Linked DNA regions of Drosophila melanogaster. Changing the gene in region 2 together with the main gene of any one other region gives a genetic interaction. Each region holds a gene or a part of one and is shown on either strand. Other genes may lie near its edges.

Evidence for each region.
Region 1: of Keap1 (region 2) and cnc, changing one suppresses a phenotype caused by changing the other (phenotypic suppression), as found in Drosophila melanogaster (one study listed by BioGRID).
Region 3: of Keap1 (region 2) and Cln3, changing one suppresses a phenotype caused by changing the other (phenotypic suppression), as found in Drosophila melanogaster (one study listed by BioGRID).

What each region holds. Positions count from the first base shown.
Region 1 is NT_033777.3:23,220,250-23,224,007, forward strand, and holds the start of cnc (cap-n-collar), read right to left. Parts: upstream 1,713-3,758; 5' UTR 1,597-1,712; exon of another isoform or gene 1,513-1,596; intron 648-1,512; exon of another isoform or gene 395-647; 5' UTR 168-394; intron 1-167. UniProt on the Drosophila melanogaster protein: Plays a role in posterior cephalic patterning. Probable subunit of a heterodimeric regulatory protein involved in the control of head morphogenesis.
Region 2 is NT_033777.3:17,076,418-17,080,175, reverse strand, and holds the start of Keap1 (Keap1), read left to right. Parts: upstream 1-2,073; 5' UTR 2,074-2,270; coding exon 2,271-2,358; intron 2,359-3,282; coding exon 3,283-3,599; intron 3,600-3,673; coding exon 3,674-3,758.
Region 3 is NT_037436.4:17,812,150-17,815,907, forward strand, and holds the start of Cln3 (Cln3), read right to left. Parts: upstream 1,971-3,758; 5' UTR 1,911-1,970; intron 743-1,910; exon of another isoform or gene 647-742; intron 1-646. Other genes in the region: Ir75a (ionotropic receptor 75a), read right to left, coding at 3,513-3,738.

The DNA.
Region 1 (3,758 bases), 6.1 Mb from region 2:
AAGCCATTTTAACAAAAATCCAAACTTTATTTGGCTCAATTCTCAATGAAAAGATGTGCGCGAGAGAGAGAAAGAGAGGGGTAGGGAAATGACGTGTGCATGTGCGTGCAAGAGAGGGTTCTTGTGTGGGTGTGCGTGTGATTGTGGCTGTATTGCAGTGCACTCACCTCAAATTTTTTTTGGATGATGAGACCCGACTACAACGGTAAAAAAGCTGCGGCGCAGTAAATGTTCTCCTTGTTGTTGTTGCCGTTGCTTGATCTTCTTTTCCTCTTCGCTGCTTCTTCTTCCCTGCAGCACACACAATGGTTTATTGTTTACCGTTCACTTTTCTTTTGCTCTGCAAGACCTTATTTGTTTATGTTTCACTTTCTACGATTTTTACTTTTAATTGCTGGAAAACACGCGTTTTATTTATTTAACAACTTTAAATATATATTTCGCTTGTCTGCGTCCTTGAACTTTCTCTTCTGCAGACAATTTGCATTCAAGTGCCATTAAATATTAATAACAATTGATATTTGATTATGTGCCACCTGGTGCTTCTTTCTCGCCGTCTGGTACGCACTTTTGTGTGAGAGTGTGTGTGGTGGTGGTGCCGTTTTACGTGGTGAAATCGTCACTTATTTGTTAACCCTATATTGGACCTACGTCAAATTAGAATTTGAAGTCATTTGTATGTTAAGATTTTCAAGACAGCTGTAAAATTATTTAACTACGTTAAGGTACAAAAAATTGTCAAGTCCATCAAGGGTTAAAACAATAATATTTTCGCTTCGTTTGTTGTTTTTACACTGCCTAATATTTGCATGTGTTTTGCCTCCACATTGCTTTGTATTTCTTTGTTTTCTTTTATCGCCCGATTCTCGTCTCTCTCTGACTCACACACCAAAAAAAAAGACACGCACACGTTGAAGCATACAACTGCTGTTTTTTCTTGCCAATTCCAATTCGGTCTGTGCCCACAATTAATGCAATTAATTAAATGCAAAACGATTTAATTTTTTGCTGAGAATCGCGGAGAGCAAAACAAATAGGAAAAATGAAATATGGAAGCTTCGAGAATGAGCAGAGAATAACCGGCAACGGCAGCATTTCAACATTCACTCTGCACTTTGCATCAACAAATTATTTATCAAATTGCTAGTTCCTTTTCGTTCCCTATTCTTTCTAACTCGATGTTTTTCTCGATTGCATTCTGTCAGCTGAGCGGTGGAGAGGGAGCGAGAGAGGGAGACTGAGCGCGAGAGCGAGAGGGGGCGATTGCTGAATAACTGTTGTTGCTAGCCTGTTGGTCGTTGTTGTTTTGATTGCCTTTAACCCACCACCCCCACCGACAGTACCACCACCACACAATGAGTTGCACTTATTTAGTGGGGCATGCAACATTTCGCAACTGTAGTTCTTAAACGCACAACCGAAACTTTTTCATTTGTTGTTCCGGCACACAAGCACACGCAGCCAGACACGCACACACACACACACACAATTTAAGCGGCGTGTACTTCGCACCTTTACGCGTCTTCTTTCACTGTTATTTGGCAAATTATTGTCGCGTCCGCTTTGCTACTCTCTTTCGCCAACCGCCGTACCTACGTGGTGAGCTTGAAAACGTGTTTTGTTTGTTACGCCGCGTTTGGCAATTTCTCCGCCGTCGAAATCAGTCGCGATTTTCGATTGCGGCCTCAAAACATTTGAGGCAAAAAACGTCTGTCCAGCGCGGTGCTTTTATCAAGTGTGCCCAGTTGAGGCTCTTTGCAGACGATTTTGTTGAGTTTTGTGCTTTTGCGGTTTTTTTCGGGGCCGCCAAGTGCGGTCTCACCATAATACATTGTGCTTTTAACAGAAATGTTAAATGTAGCTTAAACTAACAGTGACAGAAAGAGCTTTTTAAAGGAGAGCTAGAAATGTAGATTTCGGTTACAAATGTATCTTTATTACCTACCTTTTATTTCTAGATTTAGTTTTTAGAAAGAATATCTTAAGAATATAAAGAACATATTTATATTTTCCCTAAGAGTAACTTATGTAGACATGGTGGCTATTGCAATTTTATGTAGATATGGTGTAAGCTTATAAGCTTTTGACACGTGTCCATGCAAATTTTTCAGTTAATTTGCATTAGTCATTTTTTTAACTAGTTCTACATAACAAAGTTGAAATTTGTATTAAAATTAAAAATAAAGGGATATATATAGTTTTATATTTCCTTAATATTAATTTAAAATAATTTTTTTTCATGATATTGATATTGATATTCTACATGCATGCAAAAATACAAATATCTTAACAATAACTTCCGTTAGCTATTGATATCACAAATGGATACATTTGTATTAGACTTGCTCAATAAAACAGATAGCCACACTATTCAGAACGTGTAATTCAAAATATAGCTAGAAGACTATCAATCTATCTAAAAGACCTGCTCATAAAAATTAATTTAGATTGATGGGGGTAATTTATAGATATATTGCGTTCTGAACTGGGAACATTTGTGCTGGCATTTGGATAAAGTAATTAACACCGAAGCCTTTCAATACTTACCAGATTGGTAAAATGGAAGCCACCTTTCCAAATGTTGGTCTTGGCGTTACCTGGCGTCGTCGATTGGGTGATGGATGGCGTTGGCTTGGCCAGTACAGCGGGCGTGGAAGCCACCGTGGGCTTAATCAGCTTACTCAACTTCGAGGGTGGTCCAATGGGCACCCGGACGGTGACCTTCTTCTTCGGATTCAGCTGCAATTGGGTCTGGTGGTAGGTATATTCGATGTCCTTCGCCGGGGACAAGGATTGCAGCCGAGGCAGATCCTCTAAGTCGATCATTATTGCTTATCAGCTGGCACAAATGGTGATGAGTCAATATGTCAACTGGAATGAAAGCGAACACACAGATAAGGATGGGTCACTAGGTTGACTAGGCTTTTTTTTAGGATGGTGGTTTTGAACTTAATAATTCTGTTCCGACATTAAATATAAACAGTTTGTTTTCGGCGTATAAGAAAATGTGTTTTTACTCATTTTGATCAATGTGACAGATCAAAGATATAATAAATTCATATATATTTTAGTAGCCATACTCGTGTGATTTTATTTTTAATTTCTTCGAATTCCCTGCTAGTAACTTTATCGAACTTTCACTGTAAATGAGCTATAAAAACTGATAAGCGAACTTCGACGGGTGGAATTCAAAAATGAGATATAGCCAACCTAATGGTTTGTTTTATTTGCCATTTATTGAGAAAATTACACACATTCACACAAATTCAAATGTAGATAAGTACAGTGGATGCCCAACAACAATATCAACTCCCACGAGAATCCAGAAAGATAACCGCGTGGAAACGGCATTCATTATCTATCAATTGATTTGGGAACAAAGTATTAGGTATCAGTAACCATAGAGGGATTTCTCCATTGTACACAATACAGTGGGCCCTGCCTTGGAAGAATGCAAATTACATCAGCCAATGTTCCACAGGGGGAATTTTTCGATTAGATTGGGACAATAAATGAATCATAAAATAAATTAAATTGGTCGCACTTCTAAATTTTGGGAATCAGCCATGAGTCCCTGCTATAAATTTAATCGACAGGTTCTTTATAGAAATTGGTCAAAAGATTCGTACTTATTTGTTAATCTTTTCTTCTTTAACTATTAAAATCTATGGTGTTAGCAATTTTAAATGACATTTCTATTTATAAGAAATGTACTTAATTGTGTAGACTAATCAATATTATAATTTATTTGCTCTTTT
Region 2 (3,758 bases):
AAGTCACGATGGTTCACGTCTTGGAATTTCTACATCTATATGTAAAAAAAAAAAAAAAAAAATTATCAGAATAGTGAAACAGTACAACCAACTTTAAAGTTGTAATAATTAAAATTGTTTGTAAATGTGGTTTAATATCATGTATACCATTTATTTTATAAATATCCACCAGCTGGTTGGACATCTGGCAACTCCTGTCATTACATGCTTTCAGTGTCGAGCGTTTTCCAGCACTTGCATGTTTACCTTAAGAAGAAGAGTAGAAAAAATCGTTGTGTAGTGGCAAAATAAATAAATACAGATGTGAGTAGCAGTAAATAAAACATACAAAGTGCAAAAAAGGCATAAAAAGTGCATGACCCTCGCATAGTTTAGTTTCCAGCTGGGAAACCTTTTATTTGTCTACGATCGTACATTTATCTGCATGTGAAAACCTCAATGAAACAAAGGGAGAAATTAACGGTGTATTTTCCCAGCCGATTTACGTGGTTATATACATAAATATATGAAGTATCTGTGAGATCTTGAAATCCCTGGTGATAAAGTGTAAATGTTTGTCCTGCATTGCGGTAATCTCTTACAACAAAGTGGTTTGTTTTAAGTGGCCTTCTTTCGAGTTCAGTTTCAATGGCCTTTATCAGCTGTTTGGCACATGGCGTTGGAAGTGCGGGTGTGTGTATGTATGTAAATAGTATGTACAGTACGTACGTGTGTGCAAGGGTGACAGCTGTCGCCCCAGGGAGAGCAATGTAAGTGAGTAATATTTGTTTATGTGAAAGCAAAGTTCAACGGTACCTGCAAACACACAAACACACATCCCCAACATCCGTGCTGATTACGCTGCTGTTTTCACCTACACCGACGTACCACTGTGACAGTGTGTAAGGTTTTGCCTCTTCAGCATGATTCGGCACTATTTCGTCCAGTTTTTGCCTTTATCATTCATTTACCAACAACCAACTCAGCGTCACTTTATGCGGAAATTTAAAGCCGCACTTTGATGAACTAATGTTATTAAAGGGCGTGGATTTTCCAAAGTACGTTTGATTCGCCATAATACTTATATGGGATTTTTGGCGGGGGAAGTCCCTTTTGCCCTTATCTGATTAAACAAAAATATTTGTGTAGTACATATGTAGTGGTTTTAATTTGGTGATTCAGATAAGAAAAACATACGATAAATTTTAAACGTTTTGTAAACATTTCTCTAGAATAAATAATAAAATTAAAGGATAATCTTTGAAAGGGTTTTGTGTCTTAATATTATTAAATGAAAAAAAAAAATATTTCATTATTGTAGTTACTTCATTTAATGCGAAAAATTTTTTTAAGTGTGTATCAGTGATATTAATATTTCTATCGTCATGTGTATAAGGCGTTCATAAATTGAAATTGTTTTGGGAACATGACTTGATACTTCAAAATTTATTGCCTTTTCAATTGAGCTTGGTAACAATGATTAATCGGATATACCGTACAATATTGTGTATATGGCCATTTATGTTGTGAAATTCCCTTAAGACAGAACTCCGATCATGACTAAAATACTATGCAATAAAAAATAGAGAGACGTAATCTCTTTTAAACATATTCCACGATATGCGCATACGAAATTAGCTTAGCTTTTTGTTTTGATTGTATTCAATAGTTCATTTGGCACGGACTTTGAACACATTTTAGCTATCTTTTGAACAAAACGAAATTCCTAACTGCTTGCATGACACGCGTAATTTTTTTGCAAACGCTGTGTAGCCTGAGGCTCCATACAAAAACCTGTTGCTGGTAAACATGGTAAACAATTATGTTTGCCATCGGTTACGATTTGTGAGCATCATCGTTACGGTCCAAAAAACCGCCCACGGGCCGTGCGTTTCATTCATGGCATTATATAGTTTTTATCGCCACAACACGGAGTGTATTCACCTGGAAGGGCCACATAGAACTCAGGCACATGTGTGCACACACACACATATGTAAGCATGATAACGCTCTTTGAAACGCTCCCCCCACTCCGCCACCATCCCCGCGAGAGATAAGTCTCGGTGGGCTCTGTGGCTGGGCAGACGCAGACCACGGCAGTCAGTTGACGGGCTCTCTCCACGGCACACGCATGATCGCCGGAGCGGATTTGCGGAGAAGCAGCTGATCGCGCGCTTTCATTTTCACACGGACTTTCAGTCTTTGTTTGCGAAACTATTGATTATTGAAACTATCTCTACCGAACTAACGAAGCTGTGAAGGATCCCTATCGATCCGAGATTAGTGCCAAAATGCAAACCCAAATGCACTCGCCCATGCAATATGAGACCCACATCTCCGACATGCCCAACCACAAGGGATACCCCTGCCGCCCAGAAGGTTGGTTTTTTTTAAAGTTCTGGATTTGACCTTGGGTCTACAGTTCAATTCGCAACAAGTTTGCCAGATATTTTCGCTACGCGTGCTTTTGGTAAAAAAAAAAGAAACCACTGATCATGACGGTGCGCATTGCGAATCAAGTTCTCTGAAACAGCCCACAATGATTGGCGAAAACGATTCCAGATTGTGCTACAGTGAAGTCACTTGTAGTTGAATGTGAGATGATAAAAATTAATGGAGTGAAACGGCACTTATCCAGGTTGCATTGCTCGATTTGGACGTTTGAATAATTAGAGACATTTGAAATATTATCGCGAAAGAAACTGGTTTGTGTTGACAATGCAAATTCCGGTTGGCAATGTAGTATCCATTCGAAAGAGTGTTCTTGAAATAAACAGATAATTTACCTTAATCTTATCTTAGTTTTCTAATCGAGAGCTTATAAATCTTTAAGCCCAATTTACCAAATTACCAACTCATAAACTTACCAACTTATTCGCATTCAAAAACAAAATAAATGACCGCTTTAATTTCTAGAACGTATTAAAGGTCGGTCGTATCTAACCTTTCGGTTATCTTGGATATCCATAATATAGTACGTCATTTCACACTTGGAGGATTTCTTTAAAGTGCCATTTTTAATTTTTTTGCAAATTCATAACAGATTAGATAATAAAATAGAATAAATAGCCCGCGCTGATTGTCGATCTATTTGCGATGGATGAGGTACGAGGTACAAGGGTTACAGGGCTCAACTGTAGGGCGTGTATTGGTTTTAAGATTAATAATAATTAATAATAATTAATTACTATTTAATATAATTATTAATTATTATTAAATTAATTGTTAAATAATTAAAATTAATTGAATATTTTCTGAAATATGTCCTGGAATTACAATATGATCTATTCCTCGATTTTCCAGAGGCTGAGATGAGCAACACTTCGGAAAGTTGTTCCATCTCATGCGGTGGTCGATTCGGATCGGCGCACTCGACCCTAGATGATCACGATGCTACGGATGATGACATGACCTTCTGCATGTCCAATTACGCCAAGGAGGCCCTGAAGATGATGTACATGATGCGTTCGCACGGCATGCTCACGGACGTGGTACTCGAGGTGAAGAAGGAGCTCTTTCCCGCCCACAAAGTGGTGCTGTCGGCGGCATCGCCCTACTTCAAGGCCATGTTCACGGGGGGACTCAAGGAGTCGGAGATGTCGCGCGTCCAGCTCCAAGGGGTAAGTTGAGCTCAAGCGCGGCCCTTAATTGGTTGGTTTAATGGATGAACAGTTCGTCCGTTTCGGTGTTACAGGTGTGTCCCACGGCCATGTCACGCATCCTCTACTTCATGTACACCGGCCAAATACGTGTGACCGAGGTAACGGTGTGCCAACTCC
Region 3 (3,758 bases), on a different chromosome or scaffold from region 2:
CATTTAAGTTAACCTTGCAACAAGCCAAACCAATTCAAATAATGTAATCAACAGTTAGCACGAGCCCTGTTAGCCAACAAAGAAAAGGCACGCTAACTGTAAAATAATTATAACAAATTAACTAATTTAATTAATTCAGAGACCAGGCAAATGCTTTTTAGCCGTCCTGCACTTCGTTGGCCACTGACTCATTCAAGAGATTCACTTGATCCATTTGCGCAGTTATGAAGTTGTTGACCCAATTCGCAGTGCACTTTCCTATCCAGTTACTTTTGCTTGCTATCAAAAAATATGATACCCGATACTCAAAATTTATTTCGAAATATCACTGGTAAATTGAGAATGCTAGATCTTGCATATATCTTGAAAAAAAAATTCTGAAGCATAGAGTGCTTAAAGGGATTTTCGTTTTCAAATATAACTTTTTAATCAGTAAATTAATAGATAAAATAATTTTTTTTCCATAAGAAATTTTAAGCCTTTGATATTTAATTTCGCATTTTATGTAATATAATATGTAAAAGGTTGAATTTACAACAAATGTAAAAATGTTTACATAGAGTTAACTTTCTATTGCACTTTATAACTTTTCATAGCACTAATGGGTTCTTCAACTGCTCTTGTTCACTATAAAGTACAACCGTACATCTTGCCACTATTTTTCGGCTTGGTAGTTCTAAGGTTCCGAGAACTGTTGGATACGACGGCGACGACGATTCGCGCTTCGAGGCGATCGGTGAGTGACTGAACCTGTGCGAACCCTCCCAACGGAACGAGAACCAATAACAAGCGGCGACTACAATGGAGCCAAGCGGCTGGGAGCCCAAGTATGAGGTATCACGCGAGTTGCCAGCGGCAGCATAAAAACTAAAACAATTAAAAGATGCAGCAAGTGCCAAAGTGCCGATCAGCAGGTTGATCGTACGTAGATCGCTAGCAGGTAGCACACATTACAGATTACATATATAGTATCATTTAATTCAATTCAATTCGATTTGATTCGATTTGATTCGAGCGGCAAAAGCGGGGGAGTTGAGGTCGGTCAGCGAACGTCACGTTTTTCGAGTTGGCAAGTGCATTCGCATTGGGTTTAGAATACCCCTTCTTCTCAAGAGTGCGAAGATAGCGATAAGATGTTCGAATTTCTCGATGGGGGAAAATCTGCGAACCTTGTGATTCTTTATGGTGGGAAATGCTTATCGGCTAGCGGTCTTTGGCATTCAAAGATCCCAAGCAATCCGATAGTCGAACTGGTATAGATTAGATTATGAAGATATTGTGTCACTACGAAGGGTTCTTAAAGATTTTCCAATACTTTTGAACGCATGTGCTAGCTCTTGATTAATGTATTGAAAACGATCAAGTTAGCAACTGTATTTTGGAGGGTATTTCAAACTTCGTGTTTGTGTTAGCTTTCGTAATTAGCACCTGTTATTGAATAAGTCATAGCTATTTTAATTACGCTTAACTTTAAGTTAGGCAGTTTAATTGCGGATAGCGCTGTTAGCTTTAATTTGTGCTGCCCAATATCAAGTAAGCTCTAATGGTCGTTCCCTCTAAGTTTATTGTTTTTCAACGGGCGCACGTGGCGTATGCGTAATCCGAAAAGTGCTCCTAAGCTCAAAAACACCTGTTTTCTAGTAGAAAGATTTTAAAAAGTAGTATCGATAAATTCACTTGTTTTTTTTTTTTTAAAGTTACACAGTAAACCAAACGGAGGTCATTTAACTCGATGACAAACGGTTCGGCTATGCAAATCACATTTACCCGTTCAACTGGAAATGCTGGCTAATTTTATAACAATTTCATTTGAAACGGAACCCTGAGATACTTTCTACGGCCATAAATCCGGCGTAAAATGCAATAAACATTACTCCCCCGAGTGAATACCAAACACCAGCCGTACGTACACTTTCGAATTATTTCCGGCTGCCACTCAATCCGCTCGAGCAATGAAAATCTACTGAGGACTCGTCGAATACGGGCCTAGATTACAGCCGGACCAGTTGCAATCGACATTATCATTATCGTTAAGTGGCCAGCAGATTAAATTACAGATAAGACGTTCGCAGCATTGGGCCATATAAATCTTAAGATATCACTGGCAATGGCAATTCGTATATGACAGGCTCTGGGGAACAGAAAGGGTAATCAAACTGATGAGGTGATGGCCATAAGCCCGCTTCCCCCTTTTTATCTTTTCCCGTACACTTAAGTCTAATAATCGTACCGGCCAAGAGTTTGGTCATAATAAATTTCTCGGGTATCGTTTTCCCATCCACAATAGCTCCGTTTAAATTAAATCCGTTTCGCGCTCATTTAGCACGTACGGAAACCGCCAAAACCAATTTCACACCGCAGCCGCAAAGCATGGAACACTTTTTACTTGCCACAGGGCTATACATTGCATTTAAAAAAGAGAACATGTTGTTGACAAATTGCAAAATAAAGTGGTTAAGGCTGCTAGGGATAAAAAGGGACACCCGTGTTCGATGTTGTAAATAATAAATAATTCACAATTGCTTGTCAATTTCGAGTCACTCCAAAGTTGTCCTCCCTGCGAAGGGAAAGTAGTCCTTTCATGGCATAAACTATGGCCAAAGCGATGCCCTGTTGACAGCCAGATTGAGTTGACAAATTGTTAAGGCAATTTGTTATAGTAATACTTTGGGAATTCCGGAATGCCAGTGAGTGCTGTTTGGCAAGCAGTTGTGTCAGTTGCATTTTAATGGTCGACTGGGAGTCATTTAAGAACGAAGTTCTTAATACTATTTGCTTGACTTAGGCAAATGTAAAATCTTGAAAAAATATATAATTTACTGCGTATTTGATTAGCAGCCATATAATACCATTTATTTGCTCCTACACCCAATTTAATAATATTTGTGCGAACTCAACTCACTCTTATTTATTGTACAATCAATTTCGATAAAGCTTTGACACGTCCCTTCCCATATTTGTCGCCTCTGGCGATGCGCCATCATTAAAATACCATAAATCATCTCGGGGCAACATGCGATGTCTGCGGTAGGGAAACTACTGATTCCGGTGAAATTCGGGGAAATGCGAAAAACACAACTGTTAACTGTTTCTAATAGGCCGTATTAGGCTCACAATCAGTTATCTAACATTCGCACGTGGCATTGGGGAACAAAGTTTCAATTCGAATGTGGCCGTGCACGAAAATGCAAATAAAATGGCTCCAAGAGAATGAATAAAATCATTGCCAAAAGGGAAAATGGAGTATAAAAAGTAACCGCCAAACACGAAAAGTTTTTAATGCAAATACGAAAATCGCATGGAAACATGGCCACCACGTCCTTTGCAAACCCCTTTATCCATCCCTCCGTTTAACGAGCCGTGCTGCAATTTTCCGGCGCGAAAACAGGAAGTGAGGAAAGCGTCGCCCTGCATAATTTTGCGATGCGAAAAGTTAACGCAAAGTGTTTTTATTTTCTCCTGGGTGCAAATAGAATATAGTTGTTACAGCAGCTTAAAGCGATTTTAAAGCACTACGGGTGAAAGGTGAGATGACGCGTGAAAAAGCGCTTCCAGGCCAGTTCCACCAGCAGGATTACCACGACCAGGATGTCGGCGCAGATCAGCATGAGGAGCAGAGGAGCCACGTACTCCATTCCCACGGTGATGACGAAGTTCTGGGCCACGCAGTGCAGCTTCATGTGCACCCAGTAGCTGCGCTGCTTCCGGTAGACACCAGTTTCCAGGATCCTAAGGAATCTAAAATAATACATACGATT